Mytilus edulis: one gene and its partners. The protein of the gene in region 3 purifies or fractionates together with the protein of the main gene of each other region. This does not show direct contact. Links are inferred from orthologs where the notes say so. Each region holds a gene or a part of one and is shown on either strand. Other genes may lie near its edges.

Evidence for each region.
Region 1: the proteins of ras-related protein Rab-11A (region 3) and exocyst complex component 2-like purify together in Drosophila melanogaster (affinity purification with western blotting, with the first as the bait; 3 studies listed by BioGRID). This does not show direct contact. The link is inferred for Mytilus edulis from reciprocal best matches to the Drosophila melanogaster genes Rab11 and Sec5.
Region 2: the proteins of ras-related protein Rab-11A (region 3) and Golgi phosphoprotein 3 homolog sauron-like purify together in Drosophila melanogaster (affinity purification with western blotting; 3 studies listed by BioGRID, with this or other methods). This does not show direct contact. The link is inferred for Mytilus edulis from reciprocal best matches to the Drosophila melanogaster genes Rab11 and sau.
Region 4: the proteins of ras-related protein Rab-11A (region 3) and unconventional myosin-Va-like purify together in Drosophila melanogaster (affinity purification with western blotting; 4 studies listed by BioGRID, with this or other methods). This does not show direct contact. The link is inferred for Mytilus edulis from reciprocal best matches to the Drosophila melanogaster genes Rab11 and didum.

Annotation. Positions count from the first base shown.
Region 1 is NC_092348.1:25,984,476-25,992,661, forward strand, and holds the start of exocyst complex component 2-like, read left to right. Parts: upstream 1-4,872; 5' UTR 4,873-4,979; exon of another isoform or gene 4,980-5,026; intron 5,027-8,186. UniProt on the Drosophila melanogaster protein: Component of the exocyst complex involved in the docking of exocytic vesicles with fusion sites on the plasma membrane.
Region 2 is NC_092347.1:27,683,884-27,691,892, reverse strand, and holds the start of Golgi phosphoprotein 3 homolog sauron-like, read right to left. Parts: upstream 3,310-8,009; 5' UTR 3,190-3,309; coding exon 3,001-3,189; intron 1-3,000. UniProt on the Drosophila melanogaster protein: Phosphatidylinositol-4-phosphate-binding protein that links Golgi membranes to the cytoskeleton and may participate in the tensile force required for vesicle budding from the Golgi.
Region 3 is NC_092354.1:552,964-561,293, forward strand, and holds the start of ras-related protein Rab-11A, read right to left. Parts: upstream 3,082-8,330; 5' UTR 2,810-3,081; coding exon 2,770-2,809; intron 931-2,769; coding exon 819-930; intron 1-818. Other genes in the region: riboflavin kinase-like, read left to right, coding at 3,179-3,263, 4,511-4,662, 5,313-5,415, 6,144-6,265.
Region 4 is NC_092354.1:38,486,388-38,494,295, forward strand, and holds the start of unconventional myosin-Va-like, read left to right. Parts: upstream 1-4,838; 5' UTR 4,839-5,034; coding exon 5,035-5,061; intron 5,062-6,641; exon of another isoform or gene 6,642-6,680; coding exon of another isoform or gene 6,681-6,773; intron 6,774-7,578; coding exon 7,579-7,686; intron 7,687-7,908.

The DNA of each region.
Region 1 (8,186 bases), on a different chromosome or scaffold from region 3:
ATGTAATCAATATACGTGAAAGATTACCTAATGTGAAGTTTATCAAAATCATCATAACATAATTGATCAACACATTATGTTTGAACAACATGAGTCCTACAATATAAGATTTAAAGGTGCATATCATTTACATTCAACGTTTTTATTGGATTTTTTTTTACTACAATGTAACCTCGAGGTTCAACGTTGATAGTAAAAAAAAATCCCAGAAATTTTTTGAATGATATTGTAAATGATATGAACCTTCGAATTCTTATAACATCGGAATAGAAAATATATGATCCGAATTAACCATGCACGTGTGCTACAGAAGATTATGAACTTTTATGAGGTTTTTCTTAAACAATATTATGATCCCAAATTTGATGAATTTTGTTGGCAATACTTTAATATACACACTACATATAGCAAAGTATATATTAAATCTCAATGTATTATAATTAGGAAAAATGTTTGACTCGGTAAAAAAAAATCTTCCCCCTCCCCCCGTATTGCATGTAATGGTTTAAACCTAAAGGATTCGCACTAACTGCCTAAAAGGGGTCCGCTCCAGTCTTGAATCAGTGATTTTGTTTATCATAAACAAAATATTGTCTCACACTGAAAGGGTCAGCCGGGCAACTTGCACAGCCCGGATTGTCAAAACAACTAAGATTTACAAAAACGATTACAAACAAAAACCATCAGTTGGACAATCTTACTGGAATCTGATTATCTCTACTGATAAATAATGCAACACTAATGACACATTTAAGTTTTGGAATGATTTTATTCACAAAGAATGTTTCTCATTGGTATACATTTCTATGCTCTAGTCTTTTCAGTGTTTATATTGGAAATTAAAAATTGCTGCATGAAAGACACTACATATAGCTCCACATTCCTATGCATATGATTTTATATGTACGAGAATCATTCCATAAAATATCCGTTTGATATCCTTTCAATGCATGACACTGTCTAGTGGTTTTTCTGCCACAATTACAAGGAAAACCTGGCTAAACTTGTGCTAAATCAAACACTTGAATCTTACATCGCTATTGATGTTAAGCAATTATTTAAAGGCCATCCGGAACTGTTGGGTTTTATGACAGTCTTCCTTCCATACACACCATCGCTGCAAAATAATTTGAACATTCAATTAGATGATTATAATATTATTTGGCAATCCAAAGAGAACCTGAAAACATCAGACCACAATAAACAGAGACCCCAAAAAAAAAAAGCCAATTTTACTTTACAATGAAATTGAAAAAGTAGTTAGTTACATGTCAAATCATCTTTTGGCTGTCGACAAAAAATAAATAAAATCTAAATTTCGTAGCATTTTACCCCCCCCCCCTTTTTTTTAACTGAATTTGTTCAAGGTATTAGATGAATTTCTAGCAAGTTTCTACGATATTCTTTATCATTTGACAAAATACTATGCATCTGAATTAAATTGTTTACTATTTGAAAAAGTGCGCCTTCTTCTACTTTAATTTACTTCCCTTTATTTCACATAGCAACAAATATTAAAAACTGCCACATTTGACTGCATATCAATTTTTTTTCCCAAAAAAAATATATGTCAAGCAGCATAATTAACTTTACAAATTGGGAGAAAATCAAGATGTTCCGACTATAGGTTAGTATTAAAAAAAAATAATGAAAGGTTGGCATGATTCCATGTTTGAACCCTGACGACACTTAAAATCGAAAATTCACTTATTTACCTATCATATGAAGATACGATGATGTGATAAACTTAACAATTAATAATTTACCTGGTGCATTATCATATTCACATTACGTTGACACGTCTCAGTTCGTCTGTGTTAGCTCCAAGCTCGTAAACAATGTACACCATTTTCCGCTGTTCTTTACCGATTACCTCTAGTCAGAAGAGCCCACTGTTTACAGGGGCGATAATATTTTGTCACCGGTTCACGCACTGGGTTGAAGGAAGGTGAAATCAGGTAATCTATAGTGTATGAAGACTTATTTTCTAAATTCTCTTCGTTCAAACGAACATAAATTATTTATGTTCTAGACTATATAATTTCTATATATCTCGGCCCAGTCTTTTTCTTATCTCATTCATATATAAATAACTAAAACACTAGTTTTAGAACTTGTCAGGCACGATGACCATTCTCTTTTATCTAATACCAAATCATTACAATACATGTTTATCAAATGAACAACAAATTACAAATGTTTGTAATTTTGCAAATACAGTCCACATCACAGAATATATATACGTCCTCTGTTTAAATAAACTTAAAAAGGTTATCTCAACAATCTACAAAAAACAAACAAAATTTGTTACAAAAAGTACATTTAATACTGTTTTCGAATCTATATGTGCTTAAGTTTAACTAACAAAAACTACGTGTGTACATGCGAATGGTCAACGCCCTTATCGATAATTTCAATTCGAGTCCACCGTATTTAAATACACTCGGGTTCATAAAACCTGTTACAATTCTATTGTTATATTAATAGAATTATCATACGATAAAATTCTTCCGCCACGTACATACATATATTGATTTAATAAAACCCTTATGTAATCTGTTGTAAAATATTACAGCATTATTATATACTCTAGCATTGTACCTATATATGTTTTATTACAGGGGTACCTGAGGTCACTCAATCCCTAAAAAACGAATATAACCAATTTTACTCAAATTAACTTAAAAAAATTACATAAACAACATGAACTATGCAATGTTCATCATGTCCATGAAGTCCTACATTTAAAATGAAGAAATTAGTTTATTACAGCGTAATTTTATACCCTAGCATTGTATCTCTTATTCTTTCATTACAGGTGGTACCTTAGTTCACCCAAAAAATAAAACCCGAATATAACCCATTTAACTCAAAATTAACTCAGTTCACCTTAAAAATTACATTACACAAACGTTACAATACAACATCTATGAAGTCTTATATTTTTAAATGAAGAAATTAATAATTATATACCCTAGCATTGTATCTATTACTATTTCATTACGTGGATACCTGAGATAACCCCCCCCCCCCCCCCACCCACCCCAAAAAAAAACACCTAAGAAATGTAACCAATCTAACTCTAGTTATCTTATCAAATATATGACATACGCTATGCATTGTCCACGACGTCCTACATTCAGAATGAAGAAATTAGTTTATTGCAGCATAATAATATATCATAGCATAGTATTTACTATTCTTTGATTACAGGGGTTACCTGAGCCCCCCCCCAAAAAAAAAACAAACCACAAAATACAACCAATTCGTCTCCAATGAAAAGCAAAATTATATCCGGGTGAAATTTGATCCTGAGGAAAAAATGTCACAGTAGTTGTTGTTATTTTTTTATCCGGAGGAAAATATTTCCCTGGGATATTTTTCCTTTGCCGTTAAATTCTATCTGGGTAGTTAACTTATTGAATAGTTATTAGAAAAAACTTACCCTTTACAAATACCATGAAATAATAAAATGATTTGAATTAAACCTATATTGTAAAAAAAAATGTATTATAATGGGAATTCTTTCACAAATTATCATTGAAAAAAATTCCTGAAAAAATTCAAGTAAATATCGTTCTTTTAAAAAGAAAATTATCATTAAACATAAGAAAGAAAACCAGAAATAATTTCGTAATTGTGAAATAATATCATGATTAAATAAGATAAGTGAAATACATGTAAAAGTGAGTTGTTTTCAGATCTCAGTACAAATATAAATTGAAAAGTAAAGGTAGAAATATAGTTGCAATTCTACTGTTAACAGTAATGGAAGAATTTGATTATGATAATATTATTAACTATAAAAACAGTTTTATCTGGGAACAAAGATGTTGTTGTTGATTATATGGAAATCAGATGAATCATAGCATAACAATATATTGGAACAAAAGCAATTTTAAAAGCTAGATAGTATTTACCTGTGAAATGTTATCTGTCTTATTAAAAATTCATGTTGTAAGTCATCTTTTGATATAACTGAATATATAAAAAATAAGATTCAAGGAAAAATTTCACTATGAAATAGATTCAGGAATATATTATATTAATATCTTTAAAATATAAATTGCTCATAATTACCTCCCTTTGATAAATTATGAAAATTTGTTCTACCTTTGTGAAACATTTTATAATTTAAGTCAGGTATATATTAATTGCGATTAACTTGCATACTAGTTAATGGGACTATATTTCACAAGGTTCTGTGAAATATGATACGGCAAATATATACGGGTACATACTATCCGCATAACACAGATAGATTTTCACTCCTCTGGAAAAATCTACCTGTGAAATACCATGCCTGGAAAAAAATTACTATGACAAATTATCCTCAGGATAAAATATCACAGAGGAAGAAATAAACCGTTACACAAACACATAACATAAACAATACAACGTCTATGACGTGCTACATTGAAGATGAAGAAATTATTTTCAAAATTACATCATCATTATATTATCAACAATATATCTATTTTTTGTTGGTATTAAGTCACATTACAATGTGGTATTGAGATTAATCAATAAAGGGAACTATATTTTCGTGCGAAATAATCGATGACCAATTCCCCCGGTTACCTAAGGGCACAGTTACTTCAGGGCATATATCAGTGGACCTTTCTTCCACCTACACATGGTATATTGCCGGCACTCGGTCATGATAATTTCAAATAAAAAAATCGATTTTTAAGGTTTTAAATTTTATAACAAACAAACAACTGGAACTGCACACCTGAAACCTGTGCACATGAATAAAACTGAAAATTGGGCACCAGTTGGTAGACGTTGCAGTACATGTTACTGTGAACCTTTTTATAGTAATTTGATATTTCTTTGATGATTCGCTGCAATAACAATCTATCCGGAGATAGACCACTGAGTTATCTCCACTTGCTTTTTGACAGTGGGGGGAAGTGGATATCAGTAAACAATTTCCCCTGTAAAACAGTAATAACGGTGCAGTAATAATAAGTCTAGTAAGATCAGTCAAATATCAGAATTGTTTATCAGGATCCGCACATTAGTTAGCAAAAACTGTTACGAGTATTCTATAATTTATCTCAAAATACAGGCTATTTTAGGGATACAAAAATGTAAACAGTTGAACTGTTAAGGTTCATGTGGACCCTATGACTAAAATGGCCGTATTTTCACCTCAAAATTTACTCTGAATACAGACAAACCTGCGCATCTGTAAAAAAAATTCCAGGCATATCATGCCCTAGATAAATAAATTTCAAATATGTTTTATGTTTTAGAAAAATAAAAACTTACCAGGATTTTGCCGTTCACTTTTTTTCATTCCTCCAGAAGTTGCCAAAAAAAACTAAGTTGGTAAACAGGTTTGAGAACTTCCCCACAGGTAATAATTGGCCGTTTCAGAATCTAAAGAATCATGGGTAATTTCATTGCTCGTACCCCAAAATGAAAATAACGTCACGTCATTGGTTGAATTTCCATTGTTTATGACATATATATATTTAACCAATCACGACGTTTTGGTGTACACTTTTGGAAATATTACTTAGGATGCATTAGATTCTGAAACGGCGAATTGAAGTGAGCTGTATTGCTTGACATGGACATGAGATGGACAATAGATACCTAAAAATAATTGGTCATTTAAACTGTGTACCTGAGTGGACCATATCAAGATAAACTCAACTGTTTGTTAATTTTATCATCTGCAGGGACGAAAAAAAGTGTACGGCAAAATCCAGTTAAGTTATAAATTTTCTAATTCATACAATGCATTTGAATTCTATTTATCTAGGGCATGCACATTGTATGCCTTAAAACTTTTTCGGATGCACAGGTTTGCCTGTACTCCGAGTAAATTTTGAGGTGAAAATACAGCCATATTAGCCATAGGGTCCACATGAACCTTAAATGTATGTATATACTCGTGTATTGTATTTTCGACCTACTAACATATTTTTCTGAATTTCCCTTTTATATGTTTGAACATACACATGCCTAATATTTTGAGAGTCACCAGTACACTTGTATCTAAAATACACAATGAAATACATTTCGATCTTTAATTTATTTTTTATTTGAATTCATCGGATCGATGGCACCTTTGTTGGCAAAAACAAGCATCTTGTGTTTTCGACCTATCTAAGAAACAGGTCTAAAGTCGGAAATGACATGTCGTACAAATCCGAAATTGATAGAGGTGATCAAACTTATGACTAAATGAATAGAATGGTTACATATACATGTACAACTATAAGATATAAAATATTATTTTGATATTTTTTTATACCCCCGCTTTAAAAAAGGGGGGGTATACTGTTTTACCTCTGTCTGTCAGTCCGTCCATCCATCAGTCCGTCCGTCCGTCCATCAGTCCGTCCGTCCGTCAGTCAGTCCGTCCCATGAAACTTTCGTCACATTTTTCTCAGGAACTACACATCCACCCTTTCTGTAATTTGCTATCAACATTTATATATGTCAGCCATACCGTGTGATGCATTTTCAGATTCATCACTTGACAACTTCCTGTTTACCGAACACTTGTCTGATTTTACACATGATAGCCAAGTTGAAAATTTTCGTCACATTTTTCTCAGGAGCTACAATACAAGGATTTCTGAAATTTGGTTTCAGGATTTTTATAAGTCAGCTATACCGTGTGATGCGTTTTCAGATTCATCACTCGACAACTTCCTGTTTACCGAACACTTGCATATTTTTACACTATTAATATTATCCACTTGCGGCGGGGGTATCATCAGTGAGCAGTAGCTCGCAGTTTCACTTGTTTGGACAAGTTGTACACATTTTAAAAGGAGACACATTGGAAGCCTTGTATGGTCTTGTATATATTATTCATGTTTTTGTTAAATACTTTCGTTAAATTTAAGTTAGTGCATTGTGAAGTGAGGTTGGTGAGTATTGTCTGTAATTTCCCATGACAGACTGATTTTTCTGTAAATAAAAATTAACTGATATTTTATTTTTTCGGTAAAAATCAGTAAGGAGCATGCATTTCTGTATGCAAATTACCTGTAAGTACATTATATTACAACTAACCATAGGACAGTCATGTGACTTAATGACCTTGAAGTTAACTTTGCATGCAAAAATACCTCTGCCATATTTTTTAGAAAATTTGTTTATTTTAGATCGTTTCTTTGGGAAGGTAAAACTAGTATAGTTGAAGCGTACGAAAATGTGATATCAAATAAAAAATCATGAATATTTAATTTTTATAACTTTATTTGGAAAATCTTTACCACACTTGGTATCATTTGCTATTGTTACTAAGTATAGCAGCCGAATATGACGTCACACAGGCATGCGCGGCATACAGGAAGTGAAAGTAAAATTAGGTTGAAAACGTAAGACGGTCGAAAACACAATACATATACTTCATAATTCAAGATCTAAGTAATATTTACTCGTATAAGTAAAGGAGGAGGGCAGCAAGGATCTCCATGACCTCTTTTATGATGGGGCACCGAAATCTTCCAATACACTTTCGCACCCTACACGTTCGTGTCCTAGTACATTCACTGACCCCTAGACGGTCGCACCCAATTTTTGAGTTCCAGCTGAATAATAAGAATTTTTTTTATATATACATGTATGTATTATTTACCATGTTTACCAAAACAAAAAATATTTTCCTAAATAATAATTGGTGACTTACTACATGATTTTTTTTTTTATTAATTTGTTTGTTAATTAATTATCAAATTTTAGGTATCAATGTATGATAACAGCAAATTGGTATTTGCACACAGCTAAATTTGGTATTATCTTTTGTGTGTTTGATAACCATGATGGATTGTTGTTTTAACTTGCTTTGATGTAAATGATTATGTGATTTATGCAACACCAAAAAGTTGCCAGAATGTCACTTTATTTTGAACCAATGAAAAATTATATATTTGTAGCAAAATATACGGTACCTCGAATGACCAAAATAACACTGTTAATATCCGAATAACCCTTGTAATGACCGACTTTTAAACATTAATTATTAAACAATAGTATATTATCCATGTATTTTATAACTTATATATATGATTTACAGAAAGCAGATTGTATAAGTTCATTGTTGTAGTCTACTCCCTCTTTATTATTTTTTATTATTATTAATTTACAAGGATTTTCACATCACAGTAAAACTTCTTACTCTTAATTACATGATTTACTAGCTTACTCTTAAAGAA
Region 2 (8,009 bases), on a different chromosome or scaffold from region 3:
ACTTGCTTTCAGTCGCTTCCGTCATCGGACATTTTCAATTTTTACCAAGTTGATGAAACATCAATTTTTTATTGATAATTAAAGAAATTCAGACATAAACGATTCATTATCTTTAGAAAAGAGATTGAAGCATTGTCTTCGCAGTGTGTAGTAGGTTATTTGATAAAAATACAACTTTTTATCACTTCATGCATTTTCGCAAGTTCCGGTGCTTGTTACTCGAAAACGTACATCAACCTAAATTTCGGCGGCAAAATAAGTTTGTTACTTCATTTAAACGTGATAAAAGTTGCCTCCAGTAAATGTTTAATCCATTTATTGCATTAAAAACGTCATGTTCCTTTCCAAATAACTTGTCAAACATTGTTTATTTTTGTAAATTTTCTTGCATTCATCCGCCATTGACCGATTTCTAAACTACGGATCTGAACCGGACCAGCTATGACCGAAATCCGTACTTTTACAATAATTACTACGGACGCACGGACGGAACAGCTGACAGAAGAATATTGATCCCAAAGGGAAAAATTACGCATTCCACACACATTAAGAGACTTTTGGTTACATCTAATTGATTGGTGTATATAATTCCCTATATATTTTATGGATTGTTTCAAACTATTGATTAAAGTTGCTTAACTCTGAGACTATTATACTAATTTCAATATATTATGGCCCAGCTTAATAACTTTTATATTTTTTTATGAGAAACACTGAATTTCATACACAAGATAATTTTTAATTAAATTGTAATAATGATATATTATAATTTCTTAACATTTTTTAAAATAATTTTTTTTTTTAGTGCTAGATATTTAGTTGGAATAAGTTTGTCACAAGAACCTTAGTAAAACTTAAACAACTTTTAATTTCAAATGTTACTTTAATTGTATTTTTTTTTACTCAGATATGAATCGAACAATATAAAAAGAACATTATTTGCATATGGCCCTTTATACTATTGTAAAATCCAAACATTGTAACGCACCGCGCGAATGAGCACTTCTCTTTCAAATCTCACAACTTCTCCCTATCAGTTTCAAAAAGAGAAGTCACTTCTCCCTATAATTCTGAAGTAGTGTGAGCCCTGTGGAGTCAATCAATATTTGCATATTTTTGTGTCATACTGATTTTCATTTTGGCGGCCATCTTTCTTTTTCAATTAAGGCTCTGCATGATCAATGAAATTATTTTAAAAGGGGCTGCGGGACGGCACAGTCATGTTGACCTGGGAAAACACAGCTGAATCAGCTTCATGACTGAAATAAAATTTAGAAGATGTGGTATGAGTGCCAATGACGCATTGAGACAACTCCATTCAAGTCAAAATTTGTTAAAGAAGAACCATTATACCATTGTATACTATACGTTCATTTATTTTTGCAAGTACAAATTTTCGTGAATTGAGGTAAACTTGCATGTTCAAGGATATCTAATTTCGTACAGTATGCATACAAGCCTTGACACTTTGTGCACAAAAATCAGTACTAGGCTAAATCTTTTGTCTAGGATAAAGAAATCCCTCCCCCTAGAAACACGAAAGTTATACTTTAATGGTTATATTCTCCCTATTTTGGATTACTGTTGTACAATTTGGGAAAACACCAGTGTCAGACCAAAATACAAATAGATTAGATAAACTTGAAAAACGAGCAGCTAGAATTATTCTTGAACTTCCTTATGATACCCCATCTAATACAATGTTTAAAAAGTTATCATGGCTTCGATTTACTGATCGTTTAACTTACCACAAGGCCTTATACATGTATGTTCATAGATGTTTATATGGATCTGTCCCAGAATATTTGTCTAACAAAATCTCCTATGTTACAAATAATAATGGAATGCTACTTAGATCAAATACTACCCAATTACTTAATATACCAAAGGCAAGAACAAACACATTTAGAAGCTAGAGCTTTTTCATATTCGGGCCCAACTTTATGGAATAAACTACCAGAAGCACTAAGACACATGTCAAACATACTTTTAAAAAAAACTGCTTTAAGTTTTTACTTGAAAATCCAGGAATTATTTAAATGACTATGTATCAATTTTGATTATGTTTGCTTATGTTTATCTTTGTTATGAAGAAATTGTGTGAATTGCATTGTGAGTGGAGTGTGAGGGCCTCAAGGGAGAATAGTGTTTGTACTAATTGAGCATACCCTCTTGAAATAAAGATTATTATTATTATAAGCCTAAGGAAATTTTACAGGAACTTTTGAGATGTCTTATAACGATAAGGTGTATTTTTTCGACATGCAACTTCAATCAGTATCTTGTGTAATATTTTGTTTTACCTAGGGTTTTATGCTCTACATATGGAGAAGGATAGTGATGCCATGCCTTTTGTTTATGCGTCAAACGGTTAGTTTCTGCAACCCAACTGTTGGTGTCAAATTGGTTAAAATTTTACTTGATTCGCAGAGGTCTCAAAAACATTAATATCATTACAGTAATTTTTGGAATTTTTTTTATCGTCTAAAAGAAAGTGTACATCTTATAGTTATGCACAAAATATTGACATTTACATCATTAATGAATTTTAACTGTGATTCGTCATGAGGTTGCCTCCATTTACAACCCTCATCACAGGCAGTTTTTTCTATCCATGAGAAGACCCACTTCTATAAACGTAAATATACATTGATAGAAACAAGTGCCTGTGACCCTCATATAGGCAGGGCTGCCAAGTCTCACGCATCTATAAACGTAAATATACGTTGATAGTGGGTGTTCCCATGGATAGAACCTAGTGCCTGTGACCATCATATAGGCAGTAGTGCCAAGTCTCACGCATTTAGCATGAGACTTCATGCTTTTAAGGCGGCGTTTTTCTTTAAACTATTGTTTTTTCTCTTTAATCTTTTCAATTTTGGCCAAATCTCACGTATTTGCTTCATGAAAAGTTGGCATAACTGTATAGGGGAACAAGTTATGTCTGTCGACAAATGTGGAAATAGCAATTCTTAAAACACATTCATTCTAATGTATAACCTCTCTGTCTTTCAATCCCAACAGTAAGATTTCTTCCATTAAAGTTAAACGAGTTTCTTTTGAGTCGTGTTCCTCTTCTTCATCAGGATATCCAGAAAGATCTTCCGACTGCTCACTAGAATTTGGTTCATCTGTCCTTACATTATTACCGCGTCGTTGGACTAAGCCTCCACCTCTCTGAGAAGCCATTGTATCTATTTTACTGCATATAAAAGGCCAATAAGTTTGTTTAGCCTAAGAAACCTCAGTCACTTGCAAAGTCTGGCCATCAAAATGGCCGTCTTCGTTGACGTAAACATCAAAACATCCGAGATTTTCTAAACAATTTTAGAAACATTCTGAATTTAAAAATTGTTATCCAATTTATTTTTTTATCGTTCAAATTATCATTTTAATTTAAAAATATATTAATGAAAATTAAAAAAACAAAAATATTTAATACAATCCAAATCTGTTTTACGTTTTTATGAAAATACTAAAAGTTAGATCAATTGTCGGTTATATTCCGGTAATTATTTAATGTGGCGAGTTTTGTAAATTATTAAACAGACGTCAAGTATATTATCATGTCTTTAATTACTAGTATTGTCATTCAATTTCTGTTTTCAAATATTGAAATATGAATTATTATTACCAACATAAGAAGGACTGAGAAGGAATTTCCAATATTTAGATACAGAGACCTTTGTTTTTGCCAAATTTTAACTTGAATTTAAATTAATAATATGAGGCAGGCATTACCTGTAAATGGGGACGAAGTCTGTATGAATTATTATTTTGTAACTCAATTATTTGTAAAAAAAAAAAAAGACACGGAAATACAGTAACGTTTCCGATTTTGGTTCTGTTGTTAGGGATTTTAGTTGTGACGTTATTTAAATTATGACGTCATATGCAATGTAAACAAGAAACGCTATCATTAGGTAACGTTTTTTCATATCAAGGAATTATCAAAAATGAAATAAGTATTGCGCGTTCCTTCCTATTTTAAACTAGACTGATAAATATATATTTTACTCAAAGTTTCATACAAACGAGACCGGAAAAGGGAAGTATATTGTACATTTCTGCGCAGGTCCGGGATTTCAAAACATGACATAAAAAAAATTGAACGATTTTGAGTTCATTAGTACAATGAAAAATTCGGGAAATTTTCCCGAATTTTTTTTTTTATTGAATTTTCTACTGTTATTGGGGACTTCGTCCCCATATTACCAACATATAAGATGGACTGAGACTTTCCAACATTTAGATACAGATCAGTGGTGGATCCAGAAATTTTCATAAGTAGGGGCCCACTGACTGCCTAAGAGGGGGCCAACTCCCTTCGCGCTTCAGCCTGTGGTTCTCTATATAACCAAACAAAAACAATCACAAAAATCCGCCTCTTTTGGTTTTTTTCCAAATTTTGAAATATAAATTAATTTTACCAGCATAAGAAGGACTGATAAGGACTTTCAAATATCTAGATACAGATACCTTTTTCCTATCATGATTTTCTTGATAGACCGGGGTTGCTGCTCACAAGGAAGCTATTAAACCAAGAGTTCAAAATGGTGAAGTTGAAATCATCCCGCTTCGTAAATTTTACGGACGTCATCACGAGTTGGTTGACCGTTATGGAATAACCGTTTCACAGATGGTATATCGGATATGTTCCTTACGTCGTAACTACAATCCCCTTCCCTTTCATGAATGTGACTTACCGAATTAGATTATTTACCGGATTTGTGATAACATGAGCAACAACACGGGTGCCACATGTGGAGCATGATTTGCTTACCCTTCTAAAGCACCTGAGGTCACCCCCAGTTTTTGGTGGTGTTAAACACACCCGTAAGAACACATTTAGAGTATGCAAGCTCAGTATGGCATCCATATAAAATAGAATATAATGACATGATTGAGAATGTGCAGCGTCGGGCAACTAAACAACTACCAGGATTAAAGAATTTAAGGTAGATCATCGGTATATGTTTCCTGAGATAGAATTTTATTATACTTTGCCAAAATAAAGATTTTACTGTGCTCTTTTTAAAAATATAATAAAAATTATGGGTCACCGTTTTATTTTTCATGCTATGAGTCTTTGAAAATTGCCTAAATTTGCTTAGAATGATCATGAAAAAAACATTTTGTGCCTAAAAAGAAATCTATGATATAGAATTTGAAATAAATTTCGAGAAGATAGGTTTTATAATGTTTTTTAAAGGAAAAAAAGAAAGAAAAAAATGGTATCAGCTAACTTGTTTTCTAAATTAAAAATTTCCCGATCAGTCCAGTATATTTTTTTTTACTAAAAGTGTTATCTCCCCTTAAATAGCTTAGTTAAAAAAAAATGATTCTAAAAACCAACACAACTATTTGATACTTGTTTAAATAATTTAAATAATGCAATAAACCAGCAAGTTTTTTTCATATTAATGAACAGTCTTAAACAATAAAATTGCACATTTGTATACAAATTTGCAGATTTGGGCAAATATTTAGACTGATTGTGTACTGCGATAGTGCAATCCAAGATGGCGGTATACCATGAAACTACCTGAACATACTCAGAAAGACTGCAAAAATTAAAACTACCATCTCGAAAATAGAAGGGTCCGAGGTGACAGGATTGAAATACACAAACTACTGAACGGAAACTATGAAAGAGAGGCGGCACAAATTGTTAAATCATGGAAGGATATGACTACAAGCACAGGGATAAGGGGCAACAGTCTGAAAATATTTCCACAGAGAGCCAGAACAGAATTAATGAGAAATGCCTTTGCTCTACGAGTGCCGGGTGAGAACATGGAATGCACTACCCGATATTATAGTGTCATCACCAACCACAGATACATTTAAGAATAGACTAAACAAATACTGGATGAACCAAACAATGATGTACGAAGCCACTATAGAGCAACAGTCACCGGAAGTGGAGAAGATTTAGTTAAAGAGACTGATGAAGAGGAAATTTAGTCCCTGTATAAGTAAAAGAACCTAAGTAAACCTAAGTAATAATTTTTAGTTTGAAATAGTTTTTCGTGTTCTGATGAACGTTTTTGAAAAGACAAACTATAAAAAGCATCATGCAAAGTTCTTTCTATTTTTTTTTTTGACTGAGATATATTGGTGATACGCTGTCACCCAATAAACCATATTACACTCAGATAGTTTTTCATATCATATATCCTAATAAACTTCAAACTTCTATCGTGCAGCTCGTCTTTAAGTTTGCATTGCCGGTTTCCAATACTGTCTTGGTGTATTTGCGGTTTATCGGATAGACATGCTCTTTGGTGGGTTTTGAGCTGATTTGGAGGTTTTGATGTAAGAATCCGAGGCTTCAGCTACCTTTTCATGTCATGCTGTTTGTTTGTGTTCACTCCAATCTATAGATCATTTGTAATGGTGCAGCCTATGTATTTGGTTGATGATTAATGTACCAGAGTGTGGCCGTGGTTTATCTTGAAATTCAATATATAAAGCAGACTTTCTAATTTCAGTGTGTACCCAGAAGACATAGGAATATACCTTTCTGATGCATACTGTCTCACTCATTTTGGAGTTCGTGTAATTCCCTTAGTTTGTTTCCTTTGATTTGTATCTTCTTATGTTATGATTTTATGGGAATTAAACATCAATAAAAACATTGTTTGCATCGAATATAAGCACTGTCACGCAGTTCATTCCAAAACTAGTTTTCAATATAATACGGGTTGTATATATGTTCTTCTCGTATAGCTTATAATGGTATGATACTAAGCACCTAATGGGAGGGATTGTGCTTTATTTTCATATGATTCAGACATAATCTTTCCATCAGTTAAATTGAGGTCTATATAGCTGGCATTTCAGAAACTGCTAGTAGTCGTTTGTTAATCAATGTTGATTATTATACCTTTGGCTAGTTTCTTCTGTTACATATCCTAACATCGAACTCGACTTCTAAAAAACCGAGGTTTACTGTGCGTTTTGCTTTGTGACACATTCTCCGTTTCCATTCTCAATTTTACTGTTGCCTCTTATTTGCGTATTTTGTTTCTTTGCGTGTTCTCACGTTTGAACTTTCGACCAGCATTTGTTTTAATTATGCACAAGTTTATTGAACCATTTATATGTTCCATGTACCAACAACGAGTCGATTGCCTTATGCTTATTTGTCTTTGTCATCTTGGAAATTGGGTGTTGATTGCAAATCAAGTATTTTTTTATAAAGAAAACACAATATTGAGCATATGTTTTACATTTCATGGACCTATAGGTTTTCAAAAACTGGTAAACTAGTGCTGCTTTCTGGAGTTTAAATGACCATGTAGTCGCCAAAAAGTCATACACTACTAGTTCTACATATGCACACACATTTGTGTACTAGTAATTTTACAAAATACATGCTCTGCTGCAATTTCTTGAGTAAAAAGGTTATACTCAATATTTTAAATTAAAAATTAAGCTACTTTTTGTGGTTAAAACATTTATTTTAAATTGCCATTCATGATATTTGCTGGTTTCAGAAGTTCAAAGTCATAGTTATCTGGCAGAAAATACAATATCCGAACAGATGTGGTATAGATAGATCATATATACATGTAGATATGTGCAATTCTCGCGAAATATGTCTATAACTTATTTATATCTGATAATATAGGGTTATTGCATGAATATTGGGGAATATTGTCCCGAGTAGAATTTTATATTGCTGGAGCTTGCAATATATGTTCTACGAGGGACAATATTCCCCAATAGTCATGCAATAACCCTTTTATAATTGAGTTTTATTGTATGGCAATATATATTTGAAAGTAAAAATTGGTTTAAACTGAGATTGTGTCGTTGATGACGTCATGAATTTTAAAGATTTATTGCACGCTAACTTTTGGTTACTTTCTGTGGGAAAATATTATATTGCTATGCATAAACGGTCTTTAACAACAATCACATGTCTTTACCTATTATATACATTTCTCCGTTTTCTTCACAATTAAGTTAAACTTACACTAGACAACTAGACAGTTGTAATT
Region 3 (8,330 bases):
ATCTAGAAATTGACAATGAGGGTCGGTTGATAACAAAACTTTACGACAAAAGAGATGATTTCAGCTTTCAAATTGTGAACTTTCCTTTTCTAAGTAGCAACATTCCAGCAGCACCTGCATACTGGGTATATATCTCCCAATTGATACGATATTCCTGTGCTTGCATTTCCTATCATGATTTTCTTGATAGAGGGTTGCTGCTCCAAATGGTGAAGTTGAAATCATCCCTTCGTAAATTTTATGGACGCCATCACAAGTTGGCTGACCGTTATAGAATAAATTTTTCACAAATGATATCGGATATGTTCCTTATGTCATAACTACAATCCCTTTCCCTTTCATGTATGTAACCTACCGAATTCAGACTATTTACCGGATTTGTTATCACATAAGCAACACGAAGGGTGCTACATGTGGAGCAGGATTTGCTTACCCTTCAGGTGCACCTGAGATCACCCCTAGTTTTTGGTGGGGTTCATATTGTTTATTCTGAAGTTTTCTATGTTGTGTCATGTGTTCTATTGTTTCTCTGTTTGTCTTTTTCATTTTTAGCCATAGCTATGTCAGTTTATTTTAGATTTATGAGTTTGACTGTTTGGTATCACCCGTTCTTCTTTCACATGGTTTTGTAATAGTTTTGTCAATATCCTTCTTTTCAATTCTGTAATTTGTTATTTGGTAAGAAAAACATGAAAGTCAGATTTCAGAGGTTGGCACATTCCCCCATTCCCTTTTTTTGGGGGATAAAACTGAATTACTGATGTACTAAAATTGTTTCCCCCTTTTTTTTTTTTTATATAAATCAAGCTTGGTATTACCTTGTTGCAAATTCCACACCAATAGTACTTTTACTTTCCAAGTTAAATTCATTTCTTGTGAATCTTGACAACAGATTACTCTTTCCTACACCAGAATCACCAATCAACACAACTGCAATACAAAAATATACATTAATATAAAATTAGAATTTAGGAAACTCTCTTAATTATTCACACAGCAGACATAGTGTTGCAAATTTGTTTTTCGTTTATTGTTTTGCACTTAAATAAGCCATTAGTTTTCTTGTTTGAATTGTTTTATATTGTCATTTCAGGGTCTTTAATAGATGAGTATGCGGTTTGGGCTTTTTCTAAAAGTTAGCCTAACACACGCTACATGTATGTAATTTATTAAATTTTTTTGTATGTTAAAAAAAGGTTTAATGTAACAACAGGACTTGTTTGAAGTCAATGAACTGTACTACATGTATATACAATGTATGTATAGTTCTTAATCCTAATATCCTGAAAACAGACAATCTTCTTACTTGTCTATATATTAAGTAATACAAATAGAGATTAAGTAAAACATTTAAAAAGGAATCTATTGTTCAACAATATTTATGTTTCTTTTAATTTTGTTTAATATGCATATCAATCTCCCTCCTACTAAAAAGTCATATACATGTATATATTTGTTCATTTTCCATCAAATTAGACTCAAATTATCAGACCGGGCTATTATAATTCAGAATTGTGAAAATATTTTTTTTATTTTTGACAAGGTTCTTATAATACATTTATGTCATTCATGTAGTGACTATATACATGATATATATTTTTAAGTAATTAAAGTAGTTTATTTTTTAAATTACATTTTACCTCTTGGAAGGTTCTATGATGTAAAGCTGACCATACCAAATTTAAAAATCTCTAAATGTTCCCGTCTTTTCCCCAAATTTTTGAGGTAGCTATAGGTGAACCCAGTATTAAATTTTGAACCTTGGTAATATATAAGAACTTCTTTAAAGAGCCTGGTCTTGTATTTTTGTCATTGAAATAATTAGCTTACCTTTTGTTATATAATCAAATTCATCATCCAGATAATAAGTATAAGCATTGCTTTTTATTTTACTCTGACAGTAACGACATTCTGTTTTCTTATCCTTTTCTCTTTTGTGCAAAGCCATTTTGTCAAAAATTGAATTTTAGTGAGCAAGAATTTGTAAAGCTGACAAGACCACACTAACTCAATAAGTTAAATATTTTATACTGTTAAATTTGTTTAAATCAATATATATATATAGCCATTTATGATTCATTTTTTATATTTAATTTTATTTTTAGACCTGATCGTTGGCCATGTCACTTTGTTTACAAAACACAAAATGACTCATCTGGTACAGGAAGTAAGTTAGTCAAAAGTTCAGTTTACCATTTACTAACCACATGTAGACAATGAAGATTGGTGCCAATACACTTTTTAGCTTTGTCTACCATAAACCTGTCAATGCCGTCATGATCATAGGTATTACTTTACAGTTGCAAGAGAAATCATTGAACTGACCCGGCCACATCACTTTTCCATTGTGGCAACAGATATTTTGTTTGATGACGACAAAATTTAACCAGAACCTGTGACACCAAGTTATGGCATACAAATAGCGATAAGGTGTATAGTTTGAACTCTTGCGTCAAAGTGTTGACAATAATGCGACTTCATTTTTTTTAATCTTTAATGGGTGTACCGTCTATGTGAAGCATATACATTACAAATGTAAAATCAATGGACAAACGTGGGAACTCTCTGAAGTAAAAGAGCGGATAAACATCTACAGAGAAAATGTTTAAGCTGTCAAAAATAGTTTTTGACATTTCATTTCCTGTACTAATGACAACAAAACAAAACATCACATCGGGTCGGAACAAAGCTTCAAGTCATTCATGGTGATGTAAACTGTAAATATGAGAATTAATATAAGACTTTATCACACAAATAGAAGGGCTGTACCTTTAAATAAGTAATCGTACTCGTCATCTTTACTACCCATTTCTTTCCGGAAGTTGGCGGAAGCAGGAATTCAGATGAAGATTCTTCTGACCCCTTCCTCAAATTAAGACAATTAAGTCGATTTTCAAAGTCTTGAACCAGTTGACTTTGTGACCTGTTGATAACTAAATACTTTCAACTTCTGATGCTTGTGATTCCAACAGATTTGTCAGGTGACCCTATTTCTGTCAACAACTGTAGCAGCCAATATGGCGATTTTGACGCCCCTTGTTCTGCGCAACCAAATGACGTCACCCGCGCAAGAGGAAATGCAAAAAACAGCCGGGGAAAATTTCAAAATACGAAAAATTTACCGGAAGTTCATTAACGAGAACATATGACGATTCTTACATTTTAAGGTTATATAAAAATGGAGCAAATTCTACCACATTTTGCAGAAGGAAAAGTTGTTAAAGGATTCGGACGGGGCAGCAAAGAACTAGGAATACCCACTGGTATTGAATACAGTTAATTTTACACACACTTATATCTAACTTATAGGGAAAAATGATAAAAAAAACAGGAGTGTCAGCTGTGACCAGGTTCTTCATAAAATTATCTGTGTCTGGTGTAATACCATGAATACTTGCTTGTGTAATATATGTATGTCACAAAATTTTCCAATAATCATGATATCTTCTGAGAGTGTCTTCATTTTTTGCTTCGAATCAGGGTGTGCAGCTATATACCTAATAGCTATTCCCGGCTGACCTGAGAATCTGTACCTGTTAAACTATTGACATCCTACAACATTCACTTTTTCCTTGTGACGTCAGATATTTTGGATTATGATGGAGGTCAAAATTTTACGGGAACCTGTGACAGTGTGTAGTCCTATAAACAAGGACATATATATTAGTTATACGTATACGTCCTTGCTATATTTAAGACCTTGGTCATACATTGTTTTATCGCATTCTATATTGCCAACTACAGAAATAAAAAGATGAGTTTAAAATTGCTGATGAGACAATTTTCCATCAGAGACCAAATGACATAGAAATTAACAAATATATATATATATTTATCATGTTTATAGGTCATCTGTCTTTTGTCCTCTTTATGTATACACATATTGAACTCTCTTTCACAATTTTCAAAAACTCATAAAGACGAAAACTAACCGACAAAAATAAAATACCGTTATTGCATCCGTTTTGGTGAAATGACCAAAAAAAAGAAAAACATGTTAACAAGACATCATCCAAACAACACCATTAAATTAATCACCAAACACCATTAAATTAATCACCAAACAACACCATTAAATTTATCACCAAACAACACCATTAAATTAATCACCAAACACCATTAAATTAATCACCAAACAACACCATTAAATTAATCACCAAACAACACCATTAAATTAATCACCAAACAACAACACCATTAAATTAATCTCCAAACAACACCATTAAATTAATCTCCAAACAACACCATTAAATTAATCACCAACCAACACCATTAAATTAATCTCCAAACAACACCATTAAATTAAACTCCAAACAACACCATTAAATTAATCACCAAACAACACCATTAAATTAATCACCAAACAACATTAAAGTAATCACCAAACAACACCATTAAATTAATCACCAAACAACACCATTAAATTAATCATTAATTTATAAAAAATCTTCTGTCTTTGCTACTGTTATATGTAATTCTAGACTGACTAAAGTACTGTTTCACATTTCAGCTAATTTCCCAGAAAAGGTAGTAGAAAACTTACCCAAAGATCTTCCAGGTGGTGTGTACTATGGCTGGGCCAATGTGGATAATGGTGAAGTATTGAAAATGGTCCTCAGTATTGGATGGAACCCTTACTATCACAATACAAAGAAATCTATGGTAATAATAATAATAAAATGACAAACTGATTGTCAATAAGATAAGTCTCCACCAAAGACATAATTAATAACTTTAGGTCACTGTACAGCCTTCGTCAATGAGCAAAATCGACACACCTTAGTCAGCTAAAACAAGAAAACAAAACTTTTTAAAACAATGAACAAAAAACAATAATACAGCATCAGACAACAAATGACAATCACTTAATTTTAGGTTCCTGGAACAGGCACATACGGAATGTTGTTCGGTTGATCATGTTTGTGAGTGTTTAATGTTCACCTGTGAGAGAGAGTTATGTTATAGCACAATATTAGTTACTGTATTACAGAACAAACTATTAAAATCAGCTGAAAAAGGATCACATGCATTTAAGTGTTGTTCTCTAATGTTTTCAGGAAACACATGGTATACATACATTTAAGTGTTGTTCTCTAATGTTTTCAGGAAACACATCATGCACATGGTATACATACATTTAAGTGTTGTTCTCTAATGTTTTCAGGAAACACATCATGCACATGATATACATACATTTAAGTGTTGTTCTCTAATGTTTTCAGGAAACACATGTTATACATACATTTAAATGTTGTTCTATCCAGAAAACCCATATGTTATTAATACATTTAAATGTTGTTCTATGTTTTCAGGAAACACATGTTATACACACATTTAAAGAAGATTTTTATGGATCAACATTAAAAGTAATTATGCTTGGATATATACGACCAATGAGAGATTTCTCCTCTTTAGGTAAGTTTTTATTGATAAGAAAGCAGATTAAAGCAACCTGTCAATGTATTGTTTGTAATCGTGATGTCTGTTAATGAATTTCTTCTCTCAAAACATATAATATATAAAAATAAGAAGACAAAATGACGTAGAAGTTTACAATTATAGGTCATGTATAAGAATAAGGAGTTCTGGTTTAATGAGACAACTTTCTAACAGAATCAAAATGAGTTCCTGATAAGAAAAATTCTGTTTGTGTAATTAGCCTTACATGTTATCAAACATTATACAATGTTACTGCTATAGGAAATAAAATGACTTTTCAAGGGAAACCTACCGGAGACTTATAAATATCCAAGATTTTTGTAAACACAGATGAATTATACTCTTACATCACTATCTCTGTTGTATTACACATAAAAAAAAATATATTTGATTAAATGATACCTCAATATAATAAACATGTTAGTTTTTTTTTTTGTTACAGTTAATGCATAGTGTGAAAATAGTTGCTATTTTTCTTATTAAATTATCTCCCTTGTTTGAAGTATTTTTATATAATTACACTTGAACACTAAAATTATGAAAAAGAATCCTGTTACCATCACTTTTTGTGACTTTGCTGTATTATTTGTGGACATTATTTTTTAGAAGATACAGTTAAAACCAAGCATGCATTTTTTTTAACTTTTCGATTAAGACTTAGAATCAAGTTTTTATTGTTCTAAATGAATGTTTTTATTTTACAGATGAATTAATAGATGCCATAAATGATGATATACAACAGGCTAAAGACAAGTTAGATTTACCGGAGAATGCATCATATAAACAAAATAACTTTTTATTTGATGAAATCAAGGAGGATGTTTAATGTTAGATTACTTTAGATTTTTTATTATTTTTTATTTATTTACAGACTGACTGTTTTAAGTGAGACTGGTTTAATGTTTGTTGATCGTCATTTATTTGGCAATGTGGTATAAATATTTGAGCTGCGATGGAAAGAAATTGACCTTATGCAAGTGCATGTATAAATTTACATGTATAAGCCTTTGAACAAATTTATAACATTCAAATATATAATAAAGATGAATTTTGTGCTGTGTTGTAGGGTGCTTATATCAACTATTTTTTTTGCCTTGACATATCTTTTTTGTGCTGATGTGGCATAAAGCAAACACCAACCAATCAGTCAATCAACTCAATTTTTAAACAGCTACAGACTTTGCTTGGAGATTTATCAACCTCAAATAGGTTTATAAAAGATGTATTGATATTTACATAGGGTTGATATCTATTCGCTGCAGCTCATATATAATGAAAATAATTCCTGGTGAAGTTTTATATAAATCCGTAAGATGTTCAACCAATTATGAAATGTCAAGTATTTATGTGTTCTAATGCATTAAGGTGGTACCTAACACTACAGGGAGATAACTCTGTAAAGTCAGCTAAATGTTTTAATTACGTTGCCTTGTGAATATTAAGCTACTCAATTATCAAAACTATTGTTTGTCAAACTTCTATATAACCAGAGCAATTTTTCTAAAAATTGTTTGGTTCAAATTTTTTGAAATTTTTATATTTTTGTCAAACGTTCAAAGTAAATACTTCGTCAAAATTTTAGGAAAATAAACGAGCCAAATAAATTTTAGTGAAGATGTTGGGTACCACCTTAACATATAACTTATGTTTTATTTTTTATGTCACATATTTCCAACAACAAAATAATGTTTTGTTTGAGTGGCGTTAACATCTGTCTAATTTTAAGTTTAATAATGCAAATTTATTTGTTCTATATATGTTTTTTTTTGGTTGAGTATTATACAGATGTCAAAAAAGAGTAATAGACATATATAATATATTTTGCTGTACCACTGCCTATTTTCTTCATAATATCTCTTAAGTTTGCTTTGATTGGTATTTAAAAAAAATGAAGTTTGTTTCTTTTATAAGACAATCTGTCTTTTAAATTTGAACTTTGACTATTTTCAGAATGTCCTAGAGTTATGGAATTTTTTAACATTTTGATATCTTTAAGCATGATTTTTGGTACATGAATTGCAATTGCTGTAATTACTTTTGTCCTAAATCAATAACATATAAAAAACAAGAATGTGTCCCCAGTACACGAATGCCCCACTCGCACTATCATTTTCTATGTTCAGTGGACCGTGACATTGGGGTAAACCCTCTAATTTGGCATTAAAATTAAAAAGATCATATCATAGGGAACATGTATACTAAGTTTGAAGTCGATTGGACTTCAACTTCATCAAAAACTACCTTGACCAAAAACTTTAACCTGAAGCGGGACAGACGGACGAACGAACAGACGGACGAACGAACGGACAGACGGACGGACGAACGGACGCACAGACCAGAAAACATAATGCCCCTCTACTATTGTAGGTGGGGCATAATTACAACTTGAAACTTTTCAGATTAATTTTTCAAGAGTTATTGAACTTTGATTGTTTAACAGTGTTCAAAATATTTAGTTTCATGATGGCAATAAGTGTTTTAAATTTGAATGACTTAGTTTATATACCTATAAACTTCATTTGTCAAATTAAGCCAATTTTGAGGTGTTTTTTTGTTAATTTACTTAATCCATTTTCAACATTAAATATGATAAATGCTACTTGCATATTTAAAATTATTTTCTAATTCATATAATTTGATCTTGGGACTTTCAGTGGCAGATCCAGAAATTTTCATAAGAGGGGGCCCACTGACTGACCTAAGAGGGGGCCCGCTCCAGTCACGCTTCAGTGATTCCCTATATAAGCAAACAAATTTTTTTCCCAAAAAGGGGGGGCCCGCCTCTGACTTTTTATCATTAAATAGTTGAAATGAAGGTATTTTTTCATCTTTCTGGTATCTGTGGTATTCTCATGTCACAGTTGTTTATTTTTGTAGTCATATTATTTTTA
Region 4 (7,908 bases), about 38 Mb from region 3:
TTAAAATAATTAATTAAACGATTATTTGTTTATTGTTGGCCACTGGGTTTTATTTTAATGAATTGTGTGATTGTAAATTTCAAGAAATAATTTTTGAAATACTGAATTGAAAGAAAAAATATGTAACGGGGTCTGAGAGATACAATTTTATTTTGTTCCAACAGATGCGCATTAAGTGTTCACATCCCAAAATGACAGGCCTTTGTTAGTTTTTCCTCATTCCGATGTTGCTGTCCTGTGTAAACTGTATTTATAAGATTACAGTATCGGCAATCTATTTTTACAAGCTTCCGGAACCATATTTTCTGTACAGTCCAATTATATTCTAAAGCTGGTTACACTTGGAACATATAGGAAAAGTTGTGTGCCAAAATAACCAAGTTCCAGGACAATTGTATTATTCTTCTTTGTTAATTCCATTCCAAAAATCATTTTCTGCCTTATTTTCAAAGACTGCTTGTACTATGTATTTTCAACAAATTACATCCCGTATTATTTTCCAAAAGAATTTTATTTTTTTCTATTTTGCAAGAACCCTTTTTTTTTGGCAACCAATTTAACACAAAATTTACGAAATTGCACAAATAGTGTCACAAAAATTTCCCATATTTACACAAATTAAAAATAACCTGCGTTTCTATATAGATAAGTCATATAGGAAGATGTGGTGTGAGTGCCAATGATACAACTCTCCATCCAAGTAACAATTTAAAAAGTAAACCGTTTGGATTTACAGCCAGGGGCGTAGAAGCCTGCTGCCGTACCAATAATGTTTGTTGGTACGGCATGCCATACCTATAAGTTTTTATAATTTATTGAAGAAAAAAAAAGTTTTTCACGGGATTAAAGAAAACAAGGTTTTTACGGGAAAAAACAAAGACAGAAAATCCCATTTATAAGCTTAAGTCATAGGCAATATAAACGGTATATACATTTATTAATACTGGTTCAATAGAAATAAAGGAGTGTGGTAGACTAGTAGCCAATTATTGAGACGAGTTGAACTCTTAATCCAGGTTTCATAATGTGTTAAAAGTAAACAATTACTTTAATTCAAATTGAGTACGGCATTCATCAAGCTAAAAAAGAAAGTGGGCACCGAAATGAAAAAAATAAATTATCGAATCTTTTGTAAATACATTTTTTATGTCTAGATGATGCAACCTTAGCCTACCAATTACGCTATTTTAGTGTAGCTAAACTTTATGTGAACTTTTTTAAAACTAATTACGATTTATTTTAGAAATGATGGTGAATTTGGGATGTCCCTGTCAGAATCGCCTGAAAATGTTCTATTTTCCTTTGTTTATACTTTGTCACAAACATTGTCAGTATTCACCTCAAAAGCTACTTATTAAGAAGGGTTAGTTACGATACTGTTGTCAGTTCACTAAAGATTGCTTATTTTGGCTTTAATATTGATTCACTTGGACAGGGTTCTTTCTTCTCATATATTTTATGATGGTATACTACTAAACACCTAACGGTAGGGATTGTGCTTGATATTCATATGATGAAGACGATATCCTTTATTAGTTTAATACAGGTCCCGAGCTCGCATGTCAGTACGTAACTGCTAGAAGTCTGTGTTAATTTATGTATCATTGTCAATTTGTTTAGTTTCTTTGTGACCTATTCTGACATCGGACTCGGACTTTTCTTCAACTGAGTTTTACTGTGCGTAGTGTTGTGTGTTTGTTTTTTCTACATTGACTAGAGGTATAGGGGGATATTGAGATCTCAAAAACATGTTTAACTAGCCACAATTTTGCGCCTGTCTCAAGTCGGGAGCCTCTGGCCTTTGTTAGTCTTGTATGACTTTTAGTTTTACTCTTTTTCTTGGGAGATATTGAGGTCCCCTTAATAAAATCATCATAAGGACCTCATCATAAGGGCCATAACTTATATATAACATAAACTTCTACAATTGACCATCAGGGTTTCCCCTGACTCAATTATTTTTTTCGCCACCTCTTTCGCCAAAACAAAATATTTTTCGCCACTTTATTATTTTTTTCGCCAAATAACATAACTATATTTTTCGTTTAAAATTTACATTTTTTTCTACACCCCCCCCCCCCTCCCCTTTCCCTTAAATAAGATGATTTTGCCCATTGTGTCTATGATTTTTAATTTAAAAGGGAAAACTATTCATTGTATTTTAAACAACTTTTCTAATTGATTGGGCCACTATACTTTTAATAATAAAGAAGATATACGTCCTGGAATATAACAAAATGAATGGACATGTTTTGATTATATAATACCAGTATAGTTCGAAGGGAAAGTTTCTTTAAAAGAAAAATACTGATGTGTCCTTTTGTACTAAGAAGGTTTTTTTACAACAAAACAAAAGCTTTTATCACATGAAATTGATCCCTCGTTTCATGTGTAGGCATTACATTGAAGGGCTACTCTCATTCGAGCCAACCTTTTGGATAGATTTCTTCATAACGACAGTTTTCTTTTCTTGACCATCGTAAATAAAAAAATGTTGAGACGTAAAACTAGGCTTGAAACACGTGTGTCACTCAAACGACTTTAAAAACGTCTTCCTTATCAGTTACCGATATTTAAGTCAAAGGATAATTAAAGTTTTAAATCCGAGATTTTCCTTGCTTTTGGACATTTTTCGTCACAACAACAGCTTTCTTTTCTAAACTCTCTTTAAAAGCGGAGGAGACGTCAAAAGTTTGCTTTAAACACGTGCGTCGCAAAGTGGTAAATAAATTCTGTATGTGACATTTAGCAGAAGCCATTTAACCATATCATTTTGTCAAACAATTCAATCAACACCTTTATTAATATAGTCCTTGTTGTCGATAGCTATAAAATGCAATCAGCTGATTATTGATTTTCTGTCCAAACCTTAATGAGGTCAAGGTGAATTCCGAGTATTGTCTGATCGGGTAAAGTCCGAGAAACTCGAAAAAAGTAAATAAACAAGATGGAGGAAAATAAATCGTTCTATATATTTCTTTCGCCAAATTCTTTCGCGAATGACGAATTTTTATCGCCACAATTATTATTTTTTCGCAAATTGCGAAAATGGCGACCGCCAGCGGAAACCCTGTTGACCATATGTCTTTGACGAAAGATGTGTACAGAAGTCATCACTAGAAACCTCTCAATACATGTCAATAAGAAATTCTAGCTTTGGATCCATCCAATCACTTTATAATTAGAAATTTAATGGAGTAGAATACGGCATCAAAAATGTTTAACCCTTACTCTTTATTTATATACAAGCCGCACGTCAAGAACTATTAAATTAGTGCAGTTTACACTGATTTTATGTTTTTGAGGGGAAAAAGAGGTCCTAAAAAAAATTGCCCCTCTACGCTCGGCAACGAAATCTATTATACGTACCACCATGAAAAATCCCCTGTATGCCAAGACACATTGAATGGCATCCAACACAAAATTGGAAGTATAAATTTAAGCCAAGATATTCCACTTGCTGTATCCATTTGGATTGTTGACTTTTTGACACATTTCATGTTTCATTTTTTTTCTTTTTCTATATTTTGAATTTGACTTTCAAAAAAGTGAGATAACTCAAATTGTTGTTCAAAAAATGATAAGCGAAATTTAAGTGTCAGAATGCCGGATTTTGCACCATTTATCCCAAAATCAGTCTCTGGCCCTTTAGGGGCCACCAACCCCTGCCGAATATACGCCTCACTAAGGCAGGATGAGTCGCCTCGCGACCCATAACATTTCTTGTCGTACCAATATTAATTTGAGTGCTAGTCGCCTCTGATTTTTATACTTTAAAATTAATCGGGGAAACGGCGCGTATCAGAGTTAAGCTGGAGGCACACATTCACGATTTTTACTGCCGTCCTTAACAGGACTATTTCCAATTAAAACTTGTCAAATATTGAAAATATGGGAGGTTGCATTGGAATGTCCCTCCTAGATGGGAATTTGCATGGGTCTGATCACGTTGCAGGCATATTGCATCCTGTTTGTCTATTAATGTAACTCTTTTAAGTGCATCTACTCCTGAACAACTAGATGGATATAGAACATGTAGAAGAAATATTTACATGAGAAAGTTCGAAATGTCAGAAACATATAAATATTAAATTTAGTATACATGTCTCTGGAAATGTTAAAGGGGAGATACTCGTTACTTTTATAGTATGGCATTACTAATCTTCTGAGCGAAACTCTTCCTGAATGTTTTATGGATATTAATGAAATGTATGTCGGAAAAAGTAAGGGAGAGAGAAAAGGGAGGGAGACGGGAGAAGGAGGGAGGGAGAAAGGAGAAGGAGGGCTGGAGAAGGGAGAAGAGGGGCGGGAGCAGGGAGAAACCTATCCCCCTGTCCACCTCCTCTAATTAATCAAACAATTTTTCCCCAAAAAAGGGATACAGTGACACCATAGAGTCCCCCTTTTAATCTGCCCCACGTTCACATTCCATGATGACCAAGCCGTTTGTAAACATGATGTGACCATGTTGTAGACTTCATTCCAGTTTGATAAATCATAAATGTATTGCCGTTTATAGTCATGTTATATACTGACGTTTTTACCGCCTTCTCGTCACTGAGTATACAACTCCTTTTAAATATTTTTTCAATATTACGCCCCCCCCCCCTTCCCCCTTTCACCCTTAAGTATCACTGAATTGGCTTTAATATATGCCTCCCCCCCCCCCAACCCCCAACCCCAAATACCAACAAACGAAATACTTATCGAGTTGAAATATCAGTAAGCAACGAGAAATCTATTTTTAGCAAGTTTATTCACGACAACTTAATCAACGTAATTGCCCGAAGAAACACGAGAGTTTCTTTATCATCTAAGCGTTTGATCGTTACCTGGTCAATGTAGATATTGTCACAGGTAAAACAAGTTTGTACATAATCAAGATATCTTGATAATATTCGGTGGGTGGAATAGGAGGTCATCTTTTAAAAGACAATATAACACCATCAAAACAAATGGATTAGACAAATAACTTGGAATATGTAAACCCCTGAAGAATAACCTTTTGACTCAAAAGAAGTTCTAGTCAGAAAAATGACGGCAAATGAACTTTATGTGAAGGTAAATACGCCCATTAAAACAGGATATATACTACTGTTGTGTTTATATATAACCGTCTGACAGATTGTGGACAAAAATATTATTGAAACTACTTGGGATTTGATTTTAAAGAATCTGGTCACTAAACCATTCGATAAATAATAAAAATTCTTAGAAACGTTTATTCTGTTGAAGCTTGACAGTAACACATGTAAGGATGTATATATACACAAACACAAATAAATTTGAATCAGAATGTCATATTTTTGCATAAAAACTCAAACAAGCCTATGATACATGTACAATATTCCTTATCAATATATGAGGGTATGAATGCTATTTACCATTAGGCCTGAATCAATAATTTTTTGTTACGAATGAAGATGGGGGATAGGACCTTTATCGAGACTCCGAGATCAGGTGTTTTTAGATATCATGACTGACCCTTTCCTACTCCCCCTAATGTAAAAATGGTAAAAATTGGTAATGATTCATCAGAGGTCTTAAAAATAATTATATGTAACAGTATTTTTTTGGAAAGAATTTCATGACATCAAAATTGTTCGATTTTTTTTTTATTCTTAAAGAAAATGTGTATATTTTATTGTCAAGTTTTAACATCATTTTGCAAGATTTTTTGGCGTTATTCGTGATGAAAGTTGACCGAACACAACCGTCATATATATCTTGCTTTTGAGTGACTTCTGCACATCAAAGATTACTGTGCTTAGCTACGTGTATAGTTGAGGTCAGGTCATAGACAGGCCTCATGTAACTACATGTAATATTATCCTACATTTGAACCTCTAGGATGCTAGGGCAGAGACCAACCTTTTTCTGTCTTCTGAATAAAGTCATCATTTAATCAGGATTAAATTTTTTATTTACGCCATATATGCGCTTTCATCTACAAAAAACTTATTGAGTCATCGATGAGTTTTTTGTAGATGAAAGCGCATATGGCGTAAATAAAAAAATTGTAAACCATTTGGCAGCTGCCAAGGTGTTAAAAACAATCAATTTCATCATCTAATTAATGCATACAATTAACCTACAAAATGTACGTGTAAGGTTGTGACAACATTGCTGTGATAACAGCCTACCACAACACCCATAACTAGTGTTTTAATTTGTAGCATCCACTATATACTACCCATAGATAGAAATATCATGTCATGTCCAATTCTCTCATAATTTTTTTCTGGAATAGGCCTTATTATTATATATATAGTTAAAAAGATTGAAAGAAATATTTCCCCACACAGAAATAAAATTACCCGTAGTAATCAAATCCATGAAAGATGAAGCTATAAGGTCATGAAGGTATCTGAACAATTAATTAAACCCCCTTCAAAATTTAATTGTTCCAAAAATAAACTCAATCAGAAATCTATTGCAGATTTCCACTTACACAAATAAACAAAAGCTATTGAATCCTGAGTCTGCTGCTGTTAACATTAGTATCTAGTGCATCACACATAAATAAACAAATCCTACTGAATTTTGTATTTGCTGCTGTTAACAGAAGTATCTGGTACATCATGACTAATAAACAAAATTACAAATTTGACATTTTGGATAATTATTTAACGATTATTTAAATACTGGGCTATTATTAAATATAGTTGTGTGTATTAACTATGAATCGGCTAAAGAATTGTGACAGTATTTACCGGAGATTTAATTTTCAAAGTTTTCTGCAAGATTCTGATGTCCAGGAGCTGTTTACAAAGGTCTGTAACATTGGGGACTTTGGGGTCTACTGTCTTTCAAACTTGGGAACACAGGGAATGATTATATTATTAAGAATTTTACATCTTTTAGAGGATAGTTTGAAATATCTGTTGATCCATTTTTTTTCACAAGGAAATGCGTGTACCAAGTCAGGAATTATTGAGGAATATTTAACAGTTGTTTTCCATTCATTTGATGTCATGGATGTGTTTGGGATTTTGATTAAGCATTTTAAAATGGACTATTTTGTTTTTGAATTTCCCTTTTTTTGAAGTACAGTATTTTTGTTATTATTACTTTTAACACTAAAACTGATTGTGATATTTAATGAAAGTGATATATTGAAAAAGGATACTGTGGACAGTTGTGGATTAGCATTACTACCTACCATGGCAACAGCTCATGTGGATTTTTTTAATATCAAACTGTCCACCATGGGAAAGGACACAAAAGAGGGCACAAACTCTACAAAATATCATTTATTTTTTCCTTTATATTGTCAACTTTTTTCTTTTATCAAGATGCTGTATTGAACGGATTCGATGGTAACGTACATGTACTGTCGGATAGTATAAATGCTTTCACCACTGTCCCAGGTTAGGGCGAGGGTAAGGAACCAGCTAATACCGGTATGTTTAATCCCGCAACATTCTATATATGCTTGTCCTAAGTCTGGAGCCTGTAATTGAAAAGTTGTTGATAGTTGCTGTTGAATACGTAAACATGTGTGTGTTTTGTTATATACATTGTATTAAAAAACAACATTTAAATCTTTTAATGTTTATATTTGTTGTTTTTTTTCAGGGTGCCAGGATATGGATTGCCGACCCAGAAGCTATTTGGCGAGGAGCTGAACTATTGGAAGATTACAAAGGACCAGGACAGATTAAAGTTCGGTATGAAGATGGCGAGGTGAGATAAGTTTAGATATTGTTATGTTAGGCGTTTTTGATTTAATTTACTATTCAATCATGCATGGTTATCGTGAGTATAAACATAATCTTGGACAAGTAAAGAGGGGGACAGGACCTTTTTTCAGACTTCGGGCTCAGGTGTTTTTAAGCTCTGGATTTTGGTATTCAGGAATTCTTTTTTCGAATTTCGAGATGTCGTAATTTAACTTTCTTCAAATCG